5 linked regions of the Callithrix jacchus genome follow. The protein of the gene in region 5 interacts with the protein of the main gene of each other region in a biochemical or structural test. Links are inferred from orthologs where the notes say so. Each region holds a gene or a part of one and is shown on either strand. Other genes may lie near its edges.

Region 1 (4,389 bases), on a different chromosome or scaffold from region 5:
CCCTCCCAGGAAGACCCACCCCTCGAGGGGTAACTCCACCCACCTCACCTTCTCCGGGGGAGGCCCCTCCCCTGAGATAGCTCCACCCACCCCACACTCTCTCGGGAAGACCCGCCCATCGAGGGATAGCTCCACCCACCTCAAAATCTCTGAGGCCCCGCCTCTGAGGAATAGCTCCACCCACTCCACACGCTCTCTCGGGAAGACCTGCCCCTCGAGGGGTAGCTCCACCCGCCTCACCCATTCCGGGGAAGGCCCCGCCCCTGAGAGATAGCTCCACCCATCCCACACCCTCTCTCCGGAAGACCTGCCCCTCGAGGGATAGCTCCACCCACCTCACGCTCTCCAGGGAAGGCCCCTCTCCCTAGTGATAGCTCCACCCACCCCAGCCTCACCATCTCCTGGGAAGGCCCCGCACCAGGGATAGCTTCAACCCTTCTCGTGGTCCGACCCCGCTCCCTCCCAGAAGGCCTCACACCCACCAGACCCCAAGGGATGGCTCCACCCCTTCTTGTGACTTGACCCCACCCCCCCGGAAGACCTCCCCGCACCGGGCTGCTTCTCCCCGCAGGCCGTCTAGGGCCAGGTGTGAGTCTGGCCCCGGCTCCGTCCCGCCGTGTGCCCACCTTGCAAGTGTAGACGAGCTGGTAGTGCGCCACCTCCACGCGTCCCAGCACCGCCTCGGGCCCCGGCCCAGGCTCGGAGCTTGAGCGCCGCCAGCCCCAGGTCAAGGCCCGCCGCCTTCTTGCGACCTCCGTGCGGGCCCCGCGGCCCCACAGCAGCCTCAGGCAGGACTCCCGGGGCTGCACGCGGTACAGCAGCCTCGGCGTGCTGCCCAGCGCCGCCCGCAGCATCCCGCCCGCGGACTCAGCCCGCCCCGCCCCCCCGCCATCTTGGAAGCGGGCACCGGGCGGAAGCGGCCTATCTGGGCCTCCGGGCTGGGGCGCGCTGCGATCTGCCGCCCCCTGGCAGCTTGGTGGGGGCTCTGCGCCCACGTGCTGCCCGCACCCCAGGACATCGCGGGTCCGCAGCGAGGAGGGACGGTCGTAGGGCTGCTCCCGAGCGTGGGAGCGGGAATTCGGGTCACCCGTGTTATTTATTTACGTAGCCGCGTTTTCTAACACTTATACAATGCATGCATGTATCGTGTGTTACATAGTGAAATAGAACAGACCCTGACATTACGCAAATGCGTCTGCACGGGGTGGCGAGCACCCGCGTGGGCTCCGCAAGCTGAAGGTCGCTTAACAGAACACCCCAACGTTCGGGGGCCGGGCTGGGGCTTTCAGGGCACCAGACTCCTGGTTCCAAGCCCAGGGCGTCGGCACCCGTGGGTGGCAGGGCCGGTAGGCGTGCCCTGGGCCGGGCCCGTGCTGCTGTGGCTAGGAGCCCTCGGTGTCGGTGTTGTCGCTGCCCGTGGTGTTCTCCCGGTCCGCCTCCCCCTGCCGCCAGCCGTTCTGCATCTTCCTGAGGGCACGCTTCCTGCGAAGACACAGGGGTCTCAGGCGCAAACCCGGCTACCCCTCCCCAGTCCACTTTGGAGGAGGTTGGGGGCCACCTGCCTACCTGCGGTAGTTCTCAAAACTCTCCTTGAGGCGCCGCCGCTCCTTCTCTGGGGGCTCCCCGCTGCTCAGGCCTGCGTCCTGGAGAAGGGGAAGGCTCTTGCCGGCACCCCGAAGGACCCCACCCTTGTCACGCACCCCCCACTGGCCCCTGAAACTGAAGACTGGTGGGGAAGCAGGGAGCCCAGACAGCCTCAGCCCAGCTCAGGGCCAAGTCTGCCCCGGGGGACCTGCCTGTACCCCAGGAGGGGAGCCAGTGTGGGCATTCTGCCTTTCAGATGCCAGGACACACCCAGGAGGCCAAGCCACAGCTCCAGCCTGGGCTCCAGGCCTTCGTTTCTACAACAAAGCCTGAGGCAGCCCTTGCTGTCAGGGCTCCTGTGCCAGTTTACTCAGGATTGATGCTGCATCTGCTGTAAAGGCCCCCAAGAAACCAGGACCCGGTGCATCCACCTCCAAGCCTCCACTAGCTGCTGCAGTGCCCGAGAAAGGAGGGTGGTCCCCTTCACATCCCAGACACTGCACCCCAAGCACTGAGGACAGAGACCTTGTGGTCGGTCACCCCTCAGCCTTTGGGACCACTGCAGGGGGTGCCCAGGGTGAGGAGCCACCCTCCCTGTGATCAGTCACCCTGAGGCCCCCAGCTGGGGGAGCCCATCCTGAGACAGCCTTACATGGGGAATCAGTGAAAGCTGCTCCTGGTGCAGAGTTGCAAAGGGCTGCTCCCGGCTCCCACCGCCGGCCAGGCCGCCTGGAAAGGAGAGTCATTCCTGCGGGGTCTGCCCACCCCACCTGCAGGGCCACGCACAGCCAGGCTGCCACACCCCTCCTCGGCATTGCTGACACCCTGTGGGGCTGTCTTCCAAGGCCTGGTGGGACCCCCACGTGGGTCCAGTGGAGACTGCATTCTGTAGGTTGCCTGTTCATTGCCCCAGGAGGCCGCTGGACAGCAACCCAGGCCCAGCACTCCCACCAGTGACTGCCTCTCCCTCCCCACCCCAGGGGACACTTGTCCTGCCAACTGGGGCCCCAGGTTCCACCTGGTCTCTGTGGTCTGTTCTCTGGGTGACCTTGGCCATTTTACTTATCCCCCAGCCCCAGCTTCCAGATCTGTGGAGTGTGGGTGGTGGAAACAGAGACAGGCACATGTCATGGGCTGCCTGTGCTGAAGATGGGCCTTGCTCAGGGCAGCCTAGAGGCCTCTGGGTGCACAGCTGCCACCTCCTACCTTTGTCGGAGAGCTGGCTGCCCCCCAGGCAGGAAGGCCTCGCAGACCTCAGGGGAGCTTAAGCCTGGGTGGGGCCTGAGCTGCACTGCCCCCCATCACTCCAAAGCATTTGTGGGCATGTCAGCCCTGGGGAGAGGGTTGGGGATGCCACGTTGGCTGTCCTGGCCCTCCCGAGGGGGGGCTGGGGTACTGCGGCAATTGGGAGAAAACCTTCAGGTGGCTGGACCCCTCAAAACCTGCCAGAACCTGGGCAGACCAGGGATCAGGATCCTTGGGCAGAAACCACGTACGTCCAGTCTCAGCTATGCCCCAGGGAGGGCCAGACCTGGGCCATCCTGGTGGCTGGCAGCCCCTCCTTAGAGCCAGTATCCTCCCCTGCTCACCCTCTGACCTTCACACCTGCCCCCTGGGGCTTCTGCCACAGCCACCCCAGGGGATGGAAGTAGTGCCTGAGCTGGACTCCTGGGTCCTGCTCGCCTCTGCCCACGTGGGGGCTCAGCATCCCCACGTTCAACTGTTCTGGGCTGCGGCCAAAGGTGCTGGTCTTCACTTCTCCATCTGCAACTCCATCTTCCCTTTCCGCCTCAGCTCGAAGGCCACAGCCTGGTGCTCAAGAAGCTTGTCCGACTCCCATGCAGCCTCCCAGGGCCCCTCCCCCGGGCCCTCCCCGACCCCTGCCTGATACCACATTCAGAGCAAACACCTACCCCATAACCACGGCCCACTCTGGGCACTCAGGCTGCTCCCAGCTAGCAACCCCAGTCCTTCTCCAGACAGGCAGAGGGGTCCTGCCCCACCGCTAGAAGCCCCCGACACTGCCCCGCCCCATGGCCCCGGGACACAGCAGGCCCTTGGCCACCCCTTCATTGGGCCCTGTCCCTCAAGCCCCAGGGAGTCCCGTCTCACCCTACTTTCTTTCTCACCCCTAGCCTCGTGCACCTGGGCATTTGCTCATTGCCACCTCTCTCTGCCCAAGAGGAAGCTTGGAGCAGGCAGGACTCTGCACCGTGGGGGCTGCCCTAAGGGGCACCACACTCCCCACCACAGGGAACACTTGTCCCACCAACCAGGGCCCTGGGTTCCAACTGGACTCTGGTCTGTTCTCTGGGTGCCATGTCCATTTTACTTATCCCCCAGCCCCAGCTTCCCCATCTGTGGAGTGAGGGTGGTAGAGGCCGAGACAGGCGTGTGTCACGCACGGCTGCCTGCACTGAAGATGGGCCTCGCTTGGGGCAGCTGGGAGGCCTCCGGGTGCACAGCCATCACCTCCTCACCTTTGTCTGAGAGCTGGGTGTCCTCCTCCAGGTCCTGGGGGAGCGAGAGCTTCGGAAGAGAAGCGAGATGTCCTGTTAGGCCCCTCTGCCAGGGACTGGACCTGGCCACACTGCCCACCCCAGCTCTTGGCCATCGCTGTCACCCCCTGCACAGAGCTTCTCAGCGACTCAGGCACCCAGCCAGGAAGGTCCTGCCATGAGGGTGCCAGGAGGTGGGCACTGTCCTTACCCTTTGAGCTGTCGGAGGCCTTAGTGTGTGGCTGCTTGCTCTTCCTCCACCCAGCCTGGCCACCAAGGAGGACCATGTGACGGGAAGTGTGGGGTT
Region 2 (4,744 bases), on a different chromosome or scaffold from region 5:
GATCCTGCCATGTCCTGTGTGCTTTGAAAACAAACATGGGCTGGGCGCTGTGGCTCATGCCTATAATCCCAGCAATTTGGGAGGCCAGGGCAGGCAGACTTCTTGAGGGCAGGAGTTTGAGACCATCCTGGCCAACATGGTAAAACCCCATCTCCACTAAAAATACAAAAATTAGCTGGGTGTGGTGGCATGAGCCTATAGTCCTAGCTATTTGGGAGGCCGAGACAGGAGAATCACTTGAACCCAGGAGGTGGAGGTTGCAGTGAACTGAGATTGTGCAGCTGCATTCCACCTGGGAGATGGAGCAAGACTTTGTCTCAAAAAAGGAAGAAAACGTTATACAAAAATTAGCTGGGTGTGTTGGTGGGCACCTGTAATCCCAGCTACTTGGGAAGCTAAGGCAGGAGAACCACTTGAACACAGGAGGCGGAGGTTGCAGGGAGCTGAGATCGTGCCACTGCACTCCAGTCTGCATGACAAAACAAAGCATGGCCCTCATAAGCTTGCCCTTGTCTTCTTCAGCAGCTTCATTCTCCATCGCAGCCTCCCCCCACACACCAGCCTGTCCCCACTTAGAACACACGGATTCCCCAGGCTCTCTGCCTTTGATAAAGCAACATCTCTGTCCTGGAACATCCTCACTCTTCAACTGGACAGCTCCTTATGAACTTTCTTATTGTTCCCTCTTTTCTAAGAAAAGCTGGAGCTCCCCCTGCACACAGAAACTGCAGCTCATGCCTCCTGGAGCTGCTTGCCAGCCCTTCCCACCCTGAGCAGCTCTCGCTTATGCCCATCTGTGCCCCTCAAAGGATCAGGCCCTCCTGGGAACAGGTGCCATGCCTTCTCCCTGGTGTGTCTTGCTGGACATACAGTCAGCATTTAATAAATGCCCAATGGATGTAAAGGACACATCAGGTATCACTTGTGAATACGTGCACCTCCCTCTCCTCTTCAGATCCTCTCTATGGCATTATCCTGCTTTCTCCTTTTCCTCTCTTCTTACAGGAAGGTATGTCGCTCATGGTCCCAAGGCTTCCCCAGCGCTCTGGCATGTGACCCCAGTCCCTCTGTTCTCTGCACTGTGTGTGTCATGCCCTCCGCCTTTGACAATGACAATCTCTTAGGGCGCCACCTCCTGCTTCCACCATGAACAACCATCTCCCTTTCCTTCCCTTTGCTCTTTTTTAAAAAAATTTTATTTCTTTATCCTCATTGTAGAAACTGGCCCTTAGCTTTTAAAGGCAAATGATGCCTAAGTCACGCTTCCATCCATGTCACCTTCTCTGCAGCCTTTCACAATAGGGCTCCCACTCCCAGCAGCTCTGGCTCCCATGACGTGGCCAGCCCTGGCACTTCTCCCATCTCAGTTCATGGCTGTTTTGTTTCACTTTTTCCCCCCATGTGACATTCCATGGACTCACAGCTATGTTAAGATGGTGTGTACAGAAAGCCTGGGTTACTGCACTGACGGCAGCACGGATGGAGGCAATGGGCAACTAAGTCGCACTGCTGAACATGACGGTGGGCTGAATGGGTGGCCCTAAGAATATGCCACATCCCAACTACTGGAACTCTTGTGAGAGTGACCATACTTGCAGAAAGCGTCTTTAGAGACGTAATTAAATTAGAGATCCCGGCCGGGCATGGTGGCTCATGCCTGTAATCCCAGCACTCTGGGAGGCTGAGGTGGGCGGATCACAAGGTCAGGAGTTTGAGATAAGCCTGGCCAACATGGTGAAACCCCATCTCTACTACAAATACAAAAATTAGCTGGGTGTGGTGGTGGGCGCCTGTAATCCCAGTTACTCAGGAGGCTGGGGCAGGAGAATCACTTGAACCCAGGAGGCAGAGGTTGCAGTGAGCTGAGACTGCACCACTACACTCCAGTCTGGGTGACAGAGCAAGACTCCATCTCAAAAAAAAAAAAAAAAAAAGAAATTAAGGATCCCGAGATGACATCACCCTGGACTATTTGGGTGGGACCCAAATCCAATGACAAGTGTTCTTATAAGAGATACCCAGATGAGGGACACAGGTCACATGAAGACAGAGACAGAGACTGGAGTGATGCAGTCACACACCAAAGAATGCCTGGAGCCACCGGGAGCTGGAGAGGCAAGGACAGTCCCACCCTGAGGGCCCTCAGAGACAGCTCAGCCCTGCTGACATGGTACTTTCAACTTCTGGGCTCTAGAGCTCAGATAACACATTTGTTTTTGTTTTTAGTAGAGACAGGGTTTGTTCTGTTGCCCAGGTTGGAATGTAGCAGCATGATCACAGCTCACAGCAGCCTTTAACTCCTGGGCTCAAGCGATCCTCTGACCTCAGCCTCCCCAAACTGCTGGGGTTACAGGCCTGAGCCACCATGCCTGGCCCAAATTTCTGTTGTTTTCGCCTTTCAGTCTGTGATCATCTTTACAGTAGCCATAGGAAAGCAATACACAGATAAATGAAAATGATTAGCACAGGCCTTTACTCTGACCTCCCTGCTCACGCCAAGTCAAAAAACAGTGACATGAAAACTGAGCAGCAGCTGAGTGGGCTAATGATGGCTCTGTGGTGTCCCGTGTGGGATAGCGGCAGTGCACAGAGGCAGAAAGGCACAGGCGGCTGGCAGGCCAAGGGCCTAGGGCCACAGCGCTCACTCACACAAGCGATCTTCAGGAGATTCCAGAGCTCCTTCTGCCGCTTCTCCTGCAGCCGGACAACAGTCTTCTCATCCTCATTCATCAAGCTCATCACCTCTTCCACCTTGGGCAGCAGTTCCAGTGCCTTCTGCTTGCAAACCACAGTTTTACTGCAAAGAATAAACACGACAAACTCTAATGGCATTTGGACTGGGGAAAGCAGAAGCCGTGGCAACTGTGCATCTGGTCAGCAGCTGCAGAAAGTCGCTTCACGAGGTCCACCAAATCAGAGCAGAGGGAGGAAGGGGACCTCGCACCCAGCCTACATCTCCCAGTCCTTCCTCCAGAGCAGGAAGGTTGGGGCTCATACCTGAGCTGTGTATAGATCACTCGCACTTTCTTCTCAAAGCTCTGAATTGCCTGAAGCAGCAGCCGCACCATTTCCTGACTGTCACCCTCAGTTCGCTGGTCTGGAGAGAGGGAGGGTAGCATAGTTCCTCAAGGAAGCCAGCAGAGAGTAGCGATGCCCCAAAAATGAGATAGTGAGAAGCCCAAGGCAGACACAGAACCCCACTTACCTCGTGGCTTTTCTCTTAGTCTCCTGTAGAGCTCCCTTGCTTGCTCCTCTCTAAAATATACAAAGAAGTTCTGTCTAGATTTGAGGTAAAATATGGCTAATTTTTATATTTTCTTGGTAGAGATAGAGTTTCACCATGTTGCCCAGGCTGGTCTCGAATTTCTAGGTTCAAGCAATCCTCTTGCCTTGGCCTCCCAAAGTGCTGGGATTACAGGTGTGAGCCACTGGGCCTGGCCAAAAAAAAATTTGTTTTAAATGTGCTGAGCATGGTGGGATGTGCCTATAGTCCCAGTTATTTGGGAGGCTGAGATGGGAGGGCTGCTGGAGCCCAGGAGGCTGAGGCTACAGTGAGCTAATATTGTGCCACTGCATTCCAGCCTGGGCAACAGAGCGAGACCCTGTCTCTTAAAAAAAAAATAATAACTAGAGGAGAATAAAGGGTTAAGTAAATAGAGAAAATACAGAATCAAAGTTCTGACATTCAGAGCTCCTGTCCTAAGAATCCTAATCAGGGAACACTGCTGAGCTCACAGTGACACAGCCCTTGACAGGCTGACCCAGGCTGCCTGGTTCCTTCCATCTGCACACCAGGACCACATACACATGATATTCAGGTAAGAATGATCTTCCCAGAACGGTCCTCCCCTCCTGGAGCCAATGCCAAATACCTGACAGAGACTCAAACGAACGGTTTCCAGGTCCAAACTCCTAAGCCTCATCGGGTTCTTCCTTCTCTCTCTTACTTTCTGCTCTGAGCTATGCCTGCATCAGGGTGTGGCAAATCAGGGTGTGGCAAATCAGGGGAGTCTGATACAGGCGTAGAGGCTGCTTGCATTTCACAGCCTTACAGATTACGGACTACCTCTCAAATGCATCATCTGAATTAATCGTTACACATTCGTGAGGTCAGACTGCTTTTCTTGCCACTGAACAGATTTGGAAACTGAGGCTTAGTGATGATTTGCTGGAGACAACCCCACAGGGTAGCATGCTCTAGAGGATAATGGTCCCACATAGCCACTGAGGGTTCCCTCAACACACACAGAAGCTCCAGGGGTGTCTGTGTGTGCTGGGCACAGTGAGACCCCCCAGCTGATACTCACAGGTCATCCAGTGTCCCCCCCTGCTTCCGGCCCATGGGGCTCCTCTGCAAGTCCACAATGTCGGTCTGCAGCGCCATCATCCGCTCCACCAGGAGTTTCACTTCATTCTCCTAATGGAAAAGCTGTGCTAATGTCAACTGATGTGGTAGGAGCATTCTGAGATGCAAGATCTGTCCGGGCAAGGCTAGGGTCCCTCCACACTCCCTGAGGACTCTCAATGGACTGGCTCAAAGGAATGTGGACTGTGGAGTCAGAATGGCTACGTTTGCCTCTCAGTCCACCACTTTCCAGTTGTGTGACCCCTGGGCAAGTTACTTACCCCCAGGTACAGTTTCCTTTTGCATAAAATAGGCTTCTAACAGGGCGGAGGAGTCATGTAAGATGAAGTACTTAAAGCTTCTGGTGTGCTGCCTGGCATACTGAAGATGCCCAAGGCA
Region 3 (3,606 bases), on a different chromosome or scaffold from region 5:
CTCCAGCGGCTTCATCTCAGATCCTTGCCCCTCCTGACATGCATCTGCAAAATAAATGTCCTGCTGCCACTTTACAGAGGGAATCACTGAGACTGGGAGGGGTTAGGCCCCTTCATTTCTTTTCACCAGATACTTACTGAGCTCCTGTGAAGGGTTAGGCTCTGGGGAACCCAGCAGTGAGCAAAAGAGACAGACATCCCCACTCAATACCTCACATCCTTTAGGCTGGCTAAGACTGAAAATGCAGAAACTGACAAGTGTTGGTGAGGAGGTTAGATGTCAGAACCCAGCACGCTGCTGCTGAAAGTGCAAAGTAGAGCAGCCCCTGTGGAGGACGGCATGGCGCTTCCTCAAAAATTAGAAATAGAAGACCACAGGATCCATCAACCCACCTGCGGGCATATCCCCAAGGGAACTGAAAGCAGAGTCTCTAAGAGATATTTCCACGCCGGCATTCACACCAGCGTCACTCCCAATAGCCAAAACCTGGAAGTCACCTAAGGGTCCATCAGCGGGGAGTGAATACACACAATGGGGCCCGTCCACACAGGTTAGGAAGGTGTTAAGAGCTGAAAACCTTGCAAACTGTTAACCAAAAAGACTTGAAATAAAGAAATCATAATACATGTTAATATAAGAGAAATTATAGCCTGGTACATGCCTATAGTCCCCCTTCCCCATCCGTCCTGCCTGGAAATGTGTTTGTGGTGCAGAGTGTACTGCACCAAAAATGCTGTATGATTTTTTGGGTGGTTTTTTTTTTTTTTTTTGAGATGGAGTCTTGCTCTGTTGCCTAGGCTGGAGTACAGTGGTGCCATCTCAGCTCACTGCAGCCTCCGCTTCCCGGGTTCAAGTGATTCTCCTGTCTCAGCCTCCCAAGTAGCTGGGATAACAGGTGCCTGCCACCATGCCTGGCTAATTTGTGTATTTTTACTAGAGATGGGGTTTCACCATGTTGCCCGGGCTGGTCTCGAACTCCTGACTTCAAGTTATCCTCCCCCTCAGCCTCCCAGAGTGCTAGCATTATAGATGTGAGCCACCATGCCCAGCCCATACAGTGGAATATTATTCAGCCTTCAAAAGGAAGGAGATTCTGACACCCACGTCAACATGGGTGAACCTTGAGGACGTTATTCCGTCAAATAAGCCAATCACAAAAACACACGTGCTGTATCCGATTCCACTTATATAAGGTCTCTAGAGCAGTCAGATTCCTGGAGACAGGAAGTAGAAGGGTGGTTCCCAGAGACTGCGGGAGGGAAGATGGGGCGTGAGTATTTTATTGGTCCAGAGTTGCAGTTTGGGAAGATGAGGAAGTCTGGAGATGGTTGCACAGCAGTGTATACCTAATGCTACACAGAACATACCTAATGCTACTAAATTCTTCACTGAAAGAATAAGTAAAACGGTCGATTTTATTTTATGCATATCTTAGCACAATTAGAAATTAAAAGGATGTAGCCGGGCGCAGTGGCTCATGCCTGTAATCCCAAATTTGGGAGGCCGAGGCGGGTGAATCATTTGAGGTCAGTAGTTCGAGACCAGCCTGGCAACATGATGAAACCCCATCTCTACTAAAAATACAAAACTTAGCCAGGCATGGTGGTGCGTGCCTATAGTCCCAGGTACTCAGGAGGCTGAGGCAGGACAATTGCTTGGACCTGGGAGACGGAGGTTGCAGTGAGCTGAGATCACGCCACTGCACTCCAGCCTGGGCAACAGAGCAAGACTCCATCTCAAAATAAAAATAAAAATAAAAAGAATGGGTTTGGAATTTCCAGTGAACAGCATGAAGGGGCATGGTCCCTAGCATTAAGAGTCACAAATGATATAAGGGAGAAGCAAGGCAGGAAAGGAATGGGGGCTGCGGCAGTGAGGGCTGGCCAGGCAGGTGGTGCCACACCAGTGCCACGACAGCCACCCCACAGCCCCTGCACATCTCCTCCCAGAAAGCTGCTGCCCCGGCCTGAGACGGAGGAGGAGTTCCTGCGCATGTGCCGGCTGAAGGAGAAGGAGCTGGAGGCCCTGCCGTGCCTATACGCCACGGTGGAACCTGACATGTGGGGCAGCGTGGAGGAGCTGCTCCGCATGGTCAAAGACAAGATTGGCGAGGAGCAGCGCAAGACCATCTGGGTGGATGAGGACCAGCTGTGAGGCGGGCAGCCCTGGCAGAGATGCTGTGGGCATGGGTCATCCTGTGAGGCAGGCACCCCAGGCAGAGAGATGCAGCAGGTGCAGGGGCATCCTGCAGCCCACAGAGCTGCCCTGGCGGATGCTCTGCCCCTCGCAGTGATGGAGCCTGGGGGGACAGACGCGCCCGGGGAGGAGCAGGGCACAGTCCATTCCCCCAGCCCCAGCTGACCTGGCCCAGCGGTTTGTCCCTGCTGGCCTTCACAGGGAGACAGGGCTGAGCAAAGGACACCAAGCCAGAGCCCCGGGGCCAGCCGGCCTCTGGAGAACCAGAGCAGCAGTTGAATGTAATGTGTGGGATGAGTGTGCTGCCACCAGTAGAGCAGGGACCCTGATAGCCAGGCGTCCACCAGTCCTGGGGACACACTCACCCTAAACACACTCCCAGGCAGGACAGATCGGGGAAGTGGGTGTGTACCAGGCTATGATTTCTCTTGCATTAAAATATATTATTATTTCTTTGTTTCGACCCTTTTTCTTTGTTAACAGCTTGCAAGGGTTTCAGCTGTTGCCACCTTCCTAACCTGAAAACCACGCCCAGCAAGCTTAGCTGGGGACTCAGGCCCCATGTTCCTGTGTAGGGTGAAGGTAGGGTGACCACACACCCCAGGGTCCCAGGACAGGCCTCATTTATCCCTGGAATTAGGGTGACACTTGCTAATCGTACCCCATGGACTCAAATGCATCCTGATTTGGAAGATCAATAAATTGTCTTATCACCTTGGGAAGGGCCCATCCTCTCACAGACCCTGGGGACCCTTGTGGTCTGTACCTGGCCTGCCCTGTAACTCCAGCCCTGAGGCCAGGCCCCCATCACTCAGCTCTTCCCTGCACGTCACTACCCCTGCCACAGTACATTCAATGTCCCTAGAGGGCAGCCCGACTTCCTCCTGCAGGTCAAGAGCAAGCATGTGGGGTACGGCCCTCTGGGGGGTTCATATCTCACTGCCCAGGAGTTTGGGGGGCGCAGGAAAGCCATTCCCACTCCCCAGCAGGTAGCAAAGGCCCTAGGAGTTCTAGAACCATTCTTCTCCTTCGCCCTCTTGTTGCAAACTTGCCTGGTATGGACCCAATAGACACAGCCAAACCAGGCCAGGTTGCACCCTTGGCAGAGCACCACGGGGCATGTGCAGGAAGCTGCTGGGTGGCAGGCTCGGATTCAAACCCAGGCCTCTCTGTCTGTGGGAACTCTGGGAGCAACTGCTCGCTGACAACCTAGTACTCAGACTTCCTTCCTTCCTAAGAGCATCCTGACTTATCCTGAGAATCTACATGTACAACTCAAAGACCATATGTCCCAGCCTCCCTTGCAATCAGGGAAATGTAAGGGGAGGTTTGGGGAGAGAGAAATGGTGCTTCCTCCAGTTTTCTGCTGGGATGCAGACACAATGGCTGGAGCACCAGCAGTATTCTTGC
Region 4 (5,291 bases), on a different chromosome or scaffold from region 5:
CCAAGTAGCTGGGACTACAGGCACGCACCACCATGCCCAGCTAATTTTTGTATTTTTAGTAAAGACAGGGTTTCACCATGTTGACCAGGATGGTCTCGATCTCCTGACCTCGTGATACACCCGCCTTGGCCTCCCAAAGTGCCCGGCCTGGAAGGGGCGGTTCTAATAGAGCCATCACCCAGACTGGAGCACCCTCACCTATGTCACATGGGGCAGTGAGACTGCAGGGGCTGTTGAAACAAGAGCTTCATCTCAAATTATACGTTTCAGTTTTCACTTTTAATCGTGGATGCACTCAATCTGCTCACTACCGTATGACCATTTTTGCCATTCATTTACCTTGTAACCAGGCCGGGCACGGTGGCTCACGCCTGTAATCCCAGCACTGTGGGAGGATCACTTGAGGTCAAGAGTTCAAGACCAGCCTGGTCAACACAGTGAAACCCCATCTCTACTAAAAATACAAAAAATTAACCAGGCGTGGTGGCAAGCACCTGTAATCCCTGCTACTCAGGAGGCTGAGGCAGAGGTTTCGCCATGAGCCAAGATTTCACCATTCCACTCCAGTCTGGGTGACAAGCGCAGAACTCCAGTTCAAAAAAAAAAGTATCTTATAACCTTGAGCAAGAGCTCTCTCAAAACTAATGAGCTCTTCCTCATCACGCGTCCCTGAGTGCTGGATGAGCTTAGTGGTTCTTTGTTCACGTACAACAATGCAGTGTCACACTTTGCAAACCTGCTCCTTGACACCTTTGTACTTCTGATCAGAACTTAGAAAAGGAATGAGGAGGCAGCCGAGGGAGAAGTAAGGAAGGGCCACCCCAAGCACTGTCCTCTGACTCCCCATATGCCTGAGACCCAGGAGAGGTACCCAGGTGGAGCCCACAGTGGATTGGGCTTGCCTTCAGCCCCAGCCTAGTCCTCTCAGAAGAGCCATACCTGGCCAGGCCCTGTGACTCACAGCTGTAGTCCCAACACTTTGGGAGACCAAGGCGGGCAATCACCTGAGGTCAAGAGTTTGAGACTAGCTTAGTCAGCATGGCAAAACCCTGTCTCTACTAAAAATACAAAAATTAGCCAGGCATGGTGGCGCCTGCCTGTAATCCCAGCTACTCAGAAAGGTGAGGCAGGAGAATTGCTTGAACCTGGGAGGCAGAGGTTGCAGTGATCCAGCCTGCGCAACAGAATGAATGAGATTCCATGTCAAAAAAAATTAAAAGAGCCATACCTGCATCAGTCACAAACCTTACCACCTAGGACTCTGACCATTAAGCCCTTAGTGCAAGAAGCAGACTAGAGGAGAAGGTAACTGAGGATGCTTTCTCCTTTCCCTGTCTCCACCCCATGCTGTCACAAGGACACTACAACACAGCAGCCCAGGCCACAATGATGGCTTATGACTCCAGGCCTTCAGCTCTCATTAGACAACCTCACTGAGCATCCAAACTTGTTGTGTGACTTGGAGCAAGTGTTTTCCTTTCTCTGACTGTCAGCATTTCATGTAGCAAATGACAGCTTTTGAAACAAGTGCCCAGGGTCCTTAGGGTTTTCCAAGCTGATTGTGTCATTTCACTTTCTTCACTTGTGGCCAGCTTGGTATTGGGCAACTTTGTTTCATTGAAATCAGTAGGGTTCCCCTTTGCTCTCCTCTGCTCTGACGGTGCCAGCTCCAGCACTGTGGGTAGAGGACAAGGGGTCCTCTCTCTGAAGGGCCTTGTGGTTGGTTTCTTCCTCTTCCTGCTGCGGGTGGGGGTGGCGTGCTCAGGCAGCACCTGGAGCAGCTCCCACTCCCAGGCTCCTTCCGTGCCCGATGCCTCACTCGATGCACTTGGGGGCACCCAATCCTAGAATCTGTTGCTCCAGGAAAATAGCCCATTTTCCATTCATTTAGAAGAGAGTGATCGGGCACTTCTGGGCCACAGTAGCCAGTCCCTGCCCTCCTCATGGGACCTATGTGCTGTGGTGGCCAGGGAACCACAGCAAGTAAGCAGAAGATACATGTGGGCCCTGTGTTCCCAGCCCCCCAGAGCGCATAGATCCCACAAGGAGGGCCTGGAGAGCAAGCCTGCCGGGGCAGGCTGAGGAGCACCCACACAAAAGGAAGAGCAAATGCCTGAAGCCCTGAGTTGGGAACTAGCTTGGCGTGACCTAGAAACTGCAAGCAGGCAAGTGGCTGGCAGACCCACAGCCAGGGAAGCGGGACACCCTGGGGCAGGCTGTACCCACGTGGCCTTCATCTGTCCCTTCCTCCTCCTGGCCAGCTTACGCAACACTTGCGCACACACCCAGCTTCCTTCCTGGGGGCCCTGATGACGGCTCAGAGTTACCAAGTGGGCCACTTCCCACCTTCTCAGGACTCCCACCCCTACCAGGGAGTGAGGGGAAGAGACTGGGACTGAGAGTCTACGGGTTCCTCACCTGTCTGGGCCTCAGATTCCCCACCTGGATCACAAGGGCCATGGGCTTGCTGGGCGTTCAGCGGCCCCCACCCCTCCCTTTCCTCGGAACATTTCTGGGCTGACTTCTCCGTTGGTCCGATAAGATTCTTGCTGTGTCATGATGATGTTGGCACTCTCCCAAAGACCCGGTGACTCATGAGCCCCTGGGTTTAGGAGGGAGGCCCTTTCGTTGGTTTTTCAACTGAGCTAACTCAGCAGCCCCCAGGTTCTCGGGCTCCACCCAGGGAGTCTGGGCAGGTCCTTGACCCTAGCGACCCTTGGGGATGGGGTGGCCTACCCCTGCTGGCTCTCCAGCAGGCATCGCCCTCTACCATGAAACCCTCACGCCAAGACGAGCTGTAGCGATTTGGGTTTATAAAACAGGTCGTGGCCTAGGTCCCTTTGCCCTGGCCGAGCCAGACATTGGTGGCTGGAGATCTTAATCGTGTCCTGCTTCTACTAAGTCACCCTGTGTCCTCAAGAAGGTCCCTCCCCTGCTGTGGTCCTCAGGAAAGAGGAGGGCGTGGGGAAAATGAGAAGCTCCCAGCTGCTTCTCACTAAGGATCCCTTGAATTGCCCCCACCCACATGGCAGGAGTAGACTCTTGACTAAGCTGTCAGGTTTTCCCATGTCTTCCTGTACTTGTCCCTCCAGAAAGTCCCACTAGAGCGCTGCAGCCAGCTGGGAGGGCAGGGCTAGCCCTGAGCCCTGAGGAGAGCAGCTCAGTCTGGCTCTGCTCGGCTCAGCTCAGCTTAGCTCCTCGTCACCATGGGAAAGAGCTGCCTGGCCTTCCCCCACCCACGCCATCCTCTGTCTTACCTCGACTCACTTCTCTCAGGTGACTCGGATCCCAGCAGACAGTCGGTTGCAGGGGCTGAGCTGGAACAAGGCGAACAGGTTCAATCTCCAGTTAATCCCAAAGGGAGCAGCAGGAACAAACAGCCTGGAGCGTGGGGCCGCTGTGACTCAGCAGACCAGTCCCCTGCCAACAGTACCTTCCTGTAGTCTGTCCCAATGCCTCCTGATCTACCAGAATTTGGTCATGAGCAAACATGACCTGCTTTGAGTGAGGCTTAGAGGTATTTGCAGGCTGTGGTTATTACCGTTTCATTCAGGGACAAGTTAGTTCCCAGCGAGCTGGCCCTTTCTGTGTGCGGGGACAACCCTGAGTTGATGTGCCATGGCCAGTGTTCCCCTCCCCAGTCTGATGGCAGGGTGCTGTGAGGAGCAGAGTGGAGGAACTCCTACCCCAGGGTGAGGGGTCGTCTGAGGTGGACTTGGAAGGATGCAGAAGCAAGAGGTCCTTGTGGCTTCAGGGAGCAGCAAGTTGGATGCTAGGAGGGCTGCACTGGGCTTCATGTCGGGTAGTGATGGGTGAGAAGGTCTCATGGGTGGTCCAAGACCAGCTGGTGGCAGGGCTGGAACTTTATTTTCAAGACGGTCACTGCAGCATCTGGGGGGCAAAGAGACCATTTATAAAACTTTCATGTGGCAGTTACAGGAGAGCCCCACTCCAGAGTGCTCAAGAGATAAATGGCAGGTGGCTAGGAGCCCCCCGATACCAACACAGGCAACCCTGGTTTGGGAACAGCCCACTGTGGGGATGCTGAGGTCCCAGTGCAGCCTGGAGATGACCCACAGACACTTGTAACTGGGCCGGGAAGAAACTCAGGAGCAGTCTGCCTGCAGCTCCCACCTGAAGCCCTGCACCGAGCTCACCCAAGGAGGGGCAGAAGCAGAGCACACAAGGGATGCACACCATAGCAATTTCCCACCTGGAAGCCCCCGGTGGCTTCCTAACTGCCTGTTTCATGGGGGCATGTGTCCTGGTGGCATGGCCTCCATTCTATAATGGTTCATAGAAACGGACCCATCCATGATTGCAGTGTCTGATCGCTTTGAAGAGCATGTCTTTTGTTTTCATCTGTGTGTGTGAGATGGAGTCTCGCTCTGTCACCCAGGCTGGAGTGCAATGGCGTGGTCTTGGCTCACCACAACCTCTGCCTCCCAGGTTCAAGTGATTCTCCTGCCTCAGCCTCCCGAGTAGCTGGGACTACAGGCATGCACCACCATGCCCAGCTTATTTTTTGTATTTTTAGTAGAAACAGCGTTTTACCAGGTTGGCCAGGATTGTTTTGATCTCTTGACGTCGTGATCCACCTGCCCTGGTCTTCCAAAGTGCTGGGATTACAGGCGTGAGCTACAATGCCTAGACTGTCTATTACTTTTTATCATGTTTTACTGAAATATATGTCACGCCCAGGTGCAGTGGCTCACACCTATAATCCCAGCCCTTTGGGAGGCCAAGGCAGGCAGATCACCTGAAGTCAGGAGTTTGAGACCAGCCTGGCTAACCCATCTGGGGGAAACCCATCTCTACTAAAAATACAATAATTACTCAGGCTCTGTATCAGATGCCTGGAGTCCCAGCTACTCAGGAGGCTAAGGCAGGAGAATTGCTTGAACCCAGGAGGTGGGAGATTACAGTGAGCTAAGATTGCACCAGTGCACTCCAGCCTGGGTAACAGAGCGAGACTCCCTCTCAAAAGAAGTCTATGTCATGAAGAACACAAAATCAGCAGAGCCGCAGAAGCTGCTCCTAGATCAAGAAACAGAATATGCTCTGCACCCAGGGAGGCTGCTCACAGTTGCTGGCCCCCAAAGGGTCATTTCTGACCCACTCCCCAGCCTCCACTCCATTGCTGGTTTTCTCGCTGTCTTTTTGTTGGTGCACATAGCAGTACATAAATCTTACCTTTACAATTGGCTATGCTCCTCATCACAATAAAGGCCATTATCATCTACCCAGAAAGTTCCTGGGTGCCCATTTCCAGCCAGTCTGCCTCCTGCTCC
Region 5 (5,470 bases):
AAAGATGTGTGGGGAGAGAAACCTAAAGGAATAGTGACTGTTGGAAAAAATGGAAGAAATAAAGAAAAAGGACACCAAAAAAGCAAACCTAGACTTGAGAAGTACCTGACAGCTTGATTAGTAGAAAATCCACGTTGATCTCAATAAATGGCATTAATAATTTGATACCAATGATTATACTTTAATTCCTCTATTTACTAGACACAGGATCTTGGGCAAGTAATTAACTTTTCTGTACTTGTTTCTTCAGCTGACTGTTATATGAGGAATGAATAAATTAATATATGCAAAGTGCTTAAAAAAGTGCTTGGTACAGAGTAAGGGATCAATATATGCTAGTGATGATGACAAAGGTAATGGAAGGTCTTAGAAATATCCTAGAATATGATGGCGGGAAAGTAGGCTAGGTGATCGGTTCCTGTGTGAATAAACACTTTCTTTTTTTTTTTTTTACCCTATTTTCAAGCTAACACTTCACTTTTAAACATCCTCTTCCCCATTTCTCACGTCCAGTCCATCACCATGTCCTATCTTATCTATTTCAAAAATGCATCTGGAATTCTCCTGGCTCATCCATCTCCACTGCCTTCACCCTGATCCAAATCACCATCATCTTTCATCCACATAGATTCCAGGAGCCTGCTCAATGGTTTCCCTGCTCTTATTCTTGCTCTCCTCAGTCCATGAAACAGGCAGAGGGAATTTAAAAAATACAATTCTTCAACGAGTCCCTACTATACTTTGGGGAAAAGAAACCCAAACACTTTACTAAAAAGCTCTTCATGAAAATGGCTCTAGCCCACCTTCCTAACTGCATTTCAGATTATCCTCTCTGCCTTCCTCCGATTTCTCCAAGTCACCAAGGTCTTGATTGTTTTAGGTCCTTGGCAAATTCTATGCTGCCTAGAACGCTCTTCCCTCAGTTCTGTCAAATTCTTCAGGAATCAGTTTAAATGTGACCTCTCCTGACCATCCTATCTCAAGTCGATTTCCCCTATTACTGTCTTGGCACTGTTTGATTCCCTCATAATAACCGCCATAATGAAAACAAATAAATCTATTTTGTTTTCATTTATATAATGAAAACAAATAAATGTAAAAATACATTTATTTGTTTTCAACTCTAACATCTCTGTTTGAAGCAGGCAGCAAAGAGGTATGTTTTAAGCAACACTGTCTATCCTGTACTTAACCCAGAGCACCAAGTAGATAATGCTTCAGATGAATGCAAAACTCACTGCACTTATTTTTGGGATTTAAAATGATCCCCCTCAAGAAACTGAACTCTTTTCAAGTTAGGATTGTCTTAGTTTTTAATTTTTTAAATTGTAGAACCAACCACAGTATCAGCCTCACAGTAGCATGTAATCCATATTTATTAAATTGGACTAAATCCAACCAACACGATGAGGCAAATAACCAGACAGCAAGAGACACTAAAGAAGTGAGCGGTCCCAAGACGAAGAGTGGTAGCACACCATTCATCGAGACAGACAATACAGCAGCAACAGCAAGCAACTGAGGGGGAAGGATGATAAAACGTTCAATTTTTGTCAAGGTGAGCAATCTGTAGGATATAAAAGTAGATTTCCAGTAGACATTTGGAAATAAGGACCAAGAGTAGAGAGAGAGGTCCAAATATTTTGATGATAATTTTAAAACTTTCTAAGATCAGAAAACATTTTGAAAATATCATGAAAAAAATCTCTAAGAAGAAAGCATGCACATAGTTTTTTTCATAGACCTTTTGAAATCCATCCATCATTTCAAGGTTATGCAATTCTGATATAAGCATAAAATGAAATCCTGAAGATGGATAACATCAATGAACTGACAGAAAAACAAAGACCTGGAAGCCAGTCTTTACAACTGTATTTGTATACAGGTCTTATTTCCTTCCACTTGTAATTTCTCAGTTCCTGTTTTATTAGCTGTAAAATGTGAATGGCAATTATCTTCTTTAGAGGTTGTTGTGAAGGTTAAGTGGGAACATTGTAAACTGTGACACAGAATGTGGAACATAGGAGGCCTAGCTCCTGGAAGTTCAAGGTTTTACTGGTACTCACTATGAATAAGCCAACATTTATTCTACAGTAGTTTATTTATATGCCATTCTTATCTCAACTAGAATATAAAGCAGGAAACTGATCTTCATTTTTTGTATCCTTCCAGACCCAAGGTCAGTGCTTTCCATATAGTAAGTGCTCCATAAATCTCTGTTGAATGAGGAAACTAAGCACAAGTCCCAGTCATATCCAGTTTCCTTCTGCTGGTGAGTCACACCAATTGTGAGTACAGTGTAATAAACCTTACAGGGAAGAGGAAGGGATTTGAAGTGGATGAACATTTAAAAAGTTGCCATCCTGTCCAGTTCACCAAAATGACTGTGTAAAAGTACCGCAATGCTCAATAAGAACACGTTTCATGTTCAGTTTGTTTTTAATTTGAATTTATATAAAGTGTTTTAGTGAAACTCATATAGGTCTCATCTGGCAAAACAAGTAACTAAACACAAAAGAATGTCATATCTCAACAAAGCCATGCGATACAAATCAATATGAAGGTTTATGTAGTTCTGCACCATCCGAGAAGAGCATAATTTAGCTACTGAATATTTTCGACGTTTACCTGTAGGATAATTCTCAGCTACGTGTATTCACTCCCCCAACCCCAATTTAAATATGTGGGTGTCTGCTAACTAGGGGAATTCCGGGTTGTGCTTTCAGCTGTTGAGCTTCCTCCAGCCCCCTATGCAAAAGAGCTTCACATTTTTGGTCCACTGCTCGGGATCCTTCATCTGGTACAACCTTTGCTCTAGGCTGATATAGTAGCCTAGGCGGCCAGACTCAAGGATGAATCTGAGCCGCCAGTCCCTAAAGAAGCATCTCCAAGAACGCAGTGGGGGAAAAGCATGCGGGGATGGGAGAGGAGTGGGCAAGAAGCAAAGCTCCGCTGGGCAAGGTTCCCAAAGCCCAAGCTCTGCGTTTATCGACGTAAAACCTAGATTAACAGGTCACTGCTACCCAGGTCCCTCGGATGCAGGGCTCGCCGCATTCCTCCCGTGCTGGGACCTTCCGCTCCTCCGACCTGGAGGATCCTCCTTGTCCTCGGACTCCAGGTTTCCGCTTCCCTCGCCCGCTGGACTGCAGCCCGCCCCCTCCTGCCCTGGGCAGAATGTCGCTACTCACGTCCTTCTTCACTTCAGTGAGGTCCTCCTCGGTAAGGGACGGCGCGGTGGGCTCCATGGTGGAGGCTGGAGATGGCGCTTCTTCCGGGTCTAGGAGCTCGCGCTCCGCCGCCCCGCCCTGACTGAGAGCTTCGGCCTCCGGGTAATGGGAGAGAAGGCGAGGAGGCGGAGCGGATAGGGAGAAAGACTGCCGCCCCTTCGGGAACAGAGCTGGGGGTCAAACCGTAGCGCTTCCGGCCCCGCCCCTGGGGTCGACGGCGTCGCAAATCTAGACGTCGCGACGCGGAGCTAGGAGGAGCGCTCCTTCCCTCTCCCAGAGGCTTAAGGTGCAGGCACCGCCCCCGGGCGAGGCGGGTTCCTCGGCAGAGCCCACCCTGCCACTGCGGCAGCCTATCGGCGGCACCCCGCTGGCCGCTCCCGTTCCCGCCCCCCACCGGAGCCTTTCCGGTGGCTCCGCCCACAGCGGGGCCGCTTCTCAAGCCACGCCTGCGCAGGTCGTCGGCGAGTGGCCCGGGTTAGCTTCCCCATAAGGTAACGTTTCCGTGGGTGGGATCCGTCAGTGCCCAGGCAGCTGGCATTGTCAGCCTTTGCTGCTTGCTCACTTCGGGGGAGTCCGGTATAGGCTTGTCCGTACCTTCGGGTTCCTCCCCTTTTCCCAGATCCTGCCCTACAATTTCCTGATGCTATGTTTGTCAGTTACTGTTTTGGGCATATACAAACGCACTCACACACACGTACACATGCATACACACAAACAGCGTAACTAAAATACTGAAGAAATTTTTGAAGAAAAAAAATTTTCGAAAGAAAAGAAAAAAATGTTTTTTGATTGTCCACTATGTGCCAGACACTGTTCTAGGTGCTAGGAAAACCGCTGTGTATAAAACTGATAATCCCTTTCTTCATGGAATTTATATTCTAGCCTATGTGTGTTTGGGGCAGACGAGGTAGACACTTGAAAATTTTTATCTAAGTTTATTTATTTATTTGGAGATACAATCTCACTCTGTCACGCAGGCTGGAATGTAGTGTCATGATCTCCACTCACTACAACCTCTGCCTCCCGGGTTCAAGTGATTCTCCTGCCTCAGCCTCCCGAGTAGCTGGGATTATAGGCGCGTGCCACCACACCCAGCTATATCTAAGTTTTTTAAATTAATGAATTTATTTATTTATTCTTTTGAGATGGAGTCTCGTTCTGTCTCAGGCTGGATGGAGCACAATGGCGCGATCTCTGCTCACTGGGTTCGAGCAATTCTCCTGCTTCAGCTTCCCGAGTAGCTGGTACTACAGGTGCGTGCCACCATGCCTGGCTAATTTTTGTACTTTTAGTAGAAACGGGATTTCACCACTTTGGTGAGACTGGTCTGGAACTCCTGGCCTCAGGTGATCTGTCAGGCCTCCCACCTCCAGGCCTTGGCCTCCCAAAGTGCTGGTATTACAGGCACGAGCCCCCATGACCAGCTATATATAAGTTATTTAATATATTAGAAGATGATAAACGCTAAGAGGAAAAAATAAAACAGGGAAGTAGGATGAGGCTGTGTGGGTTGGCAACATTTAAACTAACGTGGTCGATGACTGCACTGCTCACTTTGGAGGAGTCTGCTCTCGGCTTGTCAATACTGAGATAAGGGATTTGATTTATGCTTAAAGGAAGTGAGGGAGTGATTCGTGTGGATATAAGGAGAGAGCATTATGAGTACAGCCGGCAACCAACAAAAAGGCTCAGTGTGCCTAGAAGGAGATGAACTTGTGTGCTGAGTCATATGGGTGTGCTGAGTCAGACGGGAAGCCACTGGAGGGTTGTGAGCTGAGTGACCTGATCCGATTTGTGATTTGAAAAGAAATACTTTCACTTTTGTGCTAAGGGAAGAGAAGGTGGAAGAGGGAAAACCAGTTAGGGAGCTATTGCTATATTCAGGCCCCAGGAGGTGGTGGTTCAGACCAGGGTGGAGCAGTGAGGGTGATGGGAGCATTTTGAAGAGAAGCAAGGAAGCAGTTTGATTTCATTTTGAAAGGATCACTCTGGCTGCTGAGTGGAGAGTAGAAGGCAGGGGCAAGGGCAGAAGCAGACACCAGGTGGAGACTACCACAGTGTCAGGGTCACCACTTCCTCGAATGTCATGCTTGGGGTCAGGTTCCAGCCCATTGCTGAGGTCCAAGGGGAGTGGGTGGATGAATAGAAGAAACACCCGGGAGGACCATAGACAGGTGAAAGATTTTATTCAGCAGCAACTCTCATCAACAGCTTTCTTACACTAGTTGTCTATACTGTCTGCC

Evidence for each region.
Region 1: the proteins of BCL10 (region 5) and CARD9 form a complex in vitro, tested with the Homo sapiens proteins (2 studies listed by BioGRID). The link is inferred for Callithrix jacchus from reciprocal best matches to the Homo sapiens genes BCL10 and CARD9.
Region 2: the proteins of BCL10 (region 5) and IKBKB form a complex in vitro, tested with the Homo sapiens proteins (2 studies listed by BioGRID, with this or other methods). The link is inferred for Callithrix jacchus from reciprocal best matches to the Homo sapiens genes BCL10 and IKBKB.
Region 3: the proteins of BCL10 (region 5) and CARD11 form a complex in vitro, tested with the Homo sapiens proteins (2 studies listed by BioGRID, with this or other methods). The link is inferred for Callithrix jacchus from reciprocal best matches to the Homo sapiens genes BCL10 and CARD11.
Region 4: the proteins of BCL10 (region 5) and IKBKG form a complex in vitro, tested with the Homo sapiens proteins (3 studies listed by BioGRID). The link is inferred for Callithrix jacchus from reciprocal best matches to the Homo sapiens genes BCL10 and IKBKG.

What each region holds. Positions count from the first base shown.
Region 1 is NC_133502.1:184,837,215-184,841,603, forward strand, and holds the end of CARD9 (caspase recruitment domain-containing protein 9), read right to left. Parts: intron 4,114-4,389; coding exon 4,065-4,113; intron 2,314-4,064; coding exon 2,237-2,313; intron 1,644-2,236; coding exon 1,567-1,643; intron 1,483-1,566; coding exon 1,383-1,482; 3' UTR 1,078-1,382; downstream 1-1,077. Other genes in the region: DNLZ (DNL-type zinc finger protein), read right to left, coding at 627-854. UniProt on the Homo sapiens protein: Adapter protein that plays a key role in innate immune response against fungi by forming signaling complexes downstream of C-type lectin receptors.
Region 2 is NC_133514.1:44,089,528-44,094,271, forward strand, and holds part of IKBKB (inhibitor of nuclear factor kappa-B kinase subunit beta), read right to left. Parts: intron 4,418-4,744; coding exon 4,308-4,417; intron 3,256-4,307; coding exon 3,206-3,255; intron 3,098-3,205; coding exon 2,998-3,097; intron 2,798-2,997; coding exon 2,650-2,797; intron 1-2,649.
Region 3 is NC_133503.1:19,484,860-19,488,465, forward strand, and holds the end of CARD11 (caspase recruitment domain-containing protein 11), read left to right. Parts: intron 1-1,949; coding exon 1,950-2,154; 3' UTR 2,155-2,649; downstream 2,650-3,606. UniProt on the Homo sapiens protein: Adapter protein that plays a key role in adaptive immune response by transducing the activation of NF-kappa-B downstream of T-cell receptor (TCR) and B-cell receptor (BCR) engagement.
Region 4 is NC_133524.1:150,333,151-150,338,441, reverse strand, and holds the start of IKBKG (NF-kappa-B essential modulator), read right to left. Parts: upstream 3,357-5,291; 5' UTR 3,258-3,356; intron 1-3,257. UniProt on the Homo sapiens protein: Regulatory subunit of the IKK core complex which phosphorylates inhibitors of NF-kappa-B thus leading to the dissociation of the inhibitor/NF-kappa-B complex and ultimately the degradation of the inhibitor.
Region 5 is NC_133508.1:122,509,633-122,515,102, forward strand, and holds the start of BCL10 (B-cell lymphoma/leukemia 10), read right to left. Parts: upstream 3,312-5,470; 5' UTR 3,246-3,311; coding exon 3,189-3,245; intron 1-3,188. UniProt on the Homo sapiens protein: Plays a key role in both adaptive and innate immune signaling by bridging CARD domain-containing proteins to immune activation.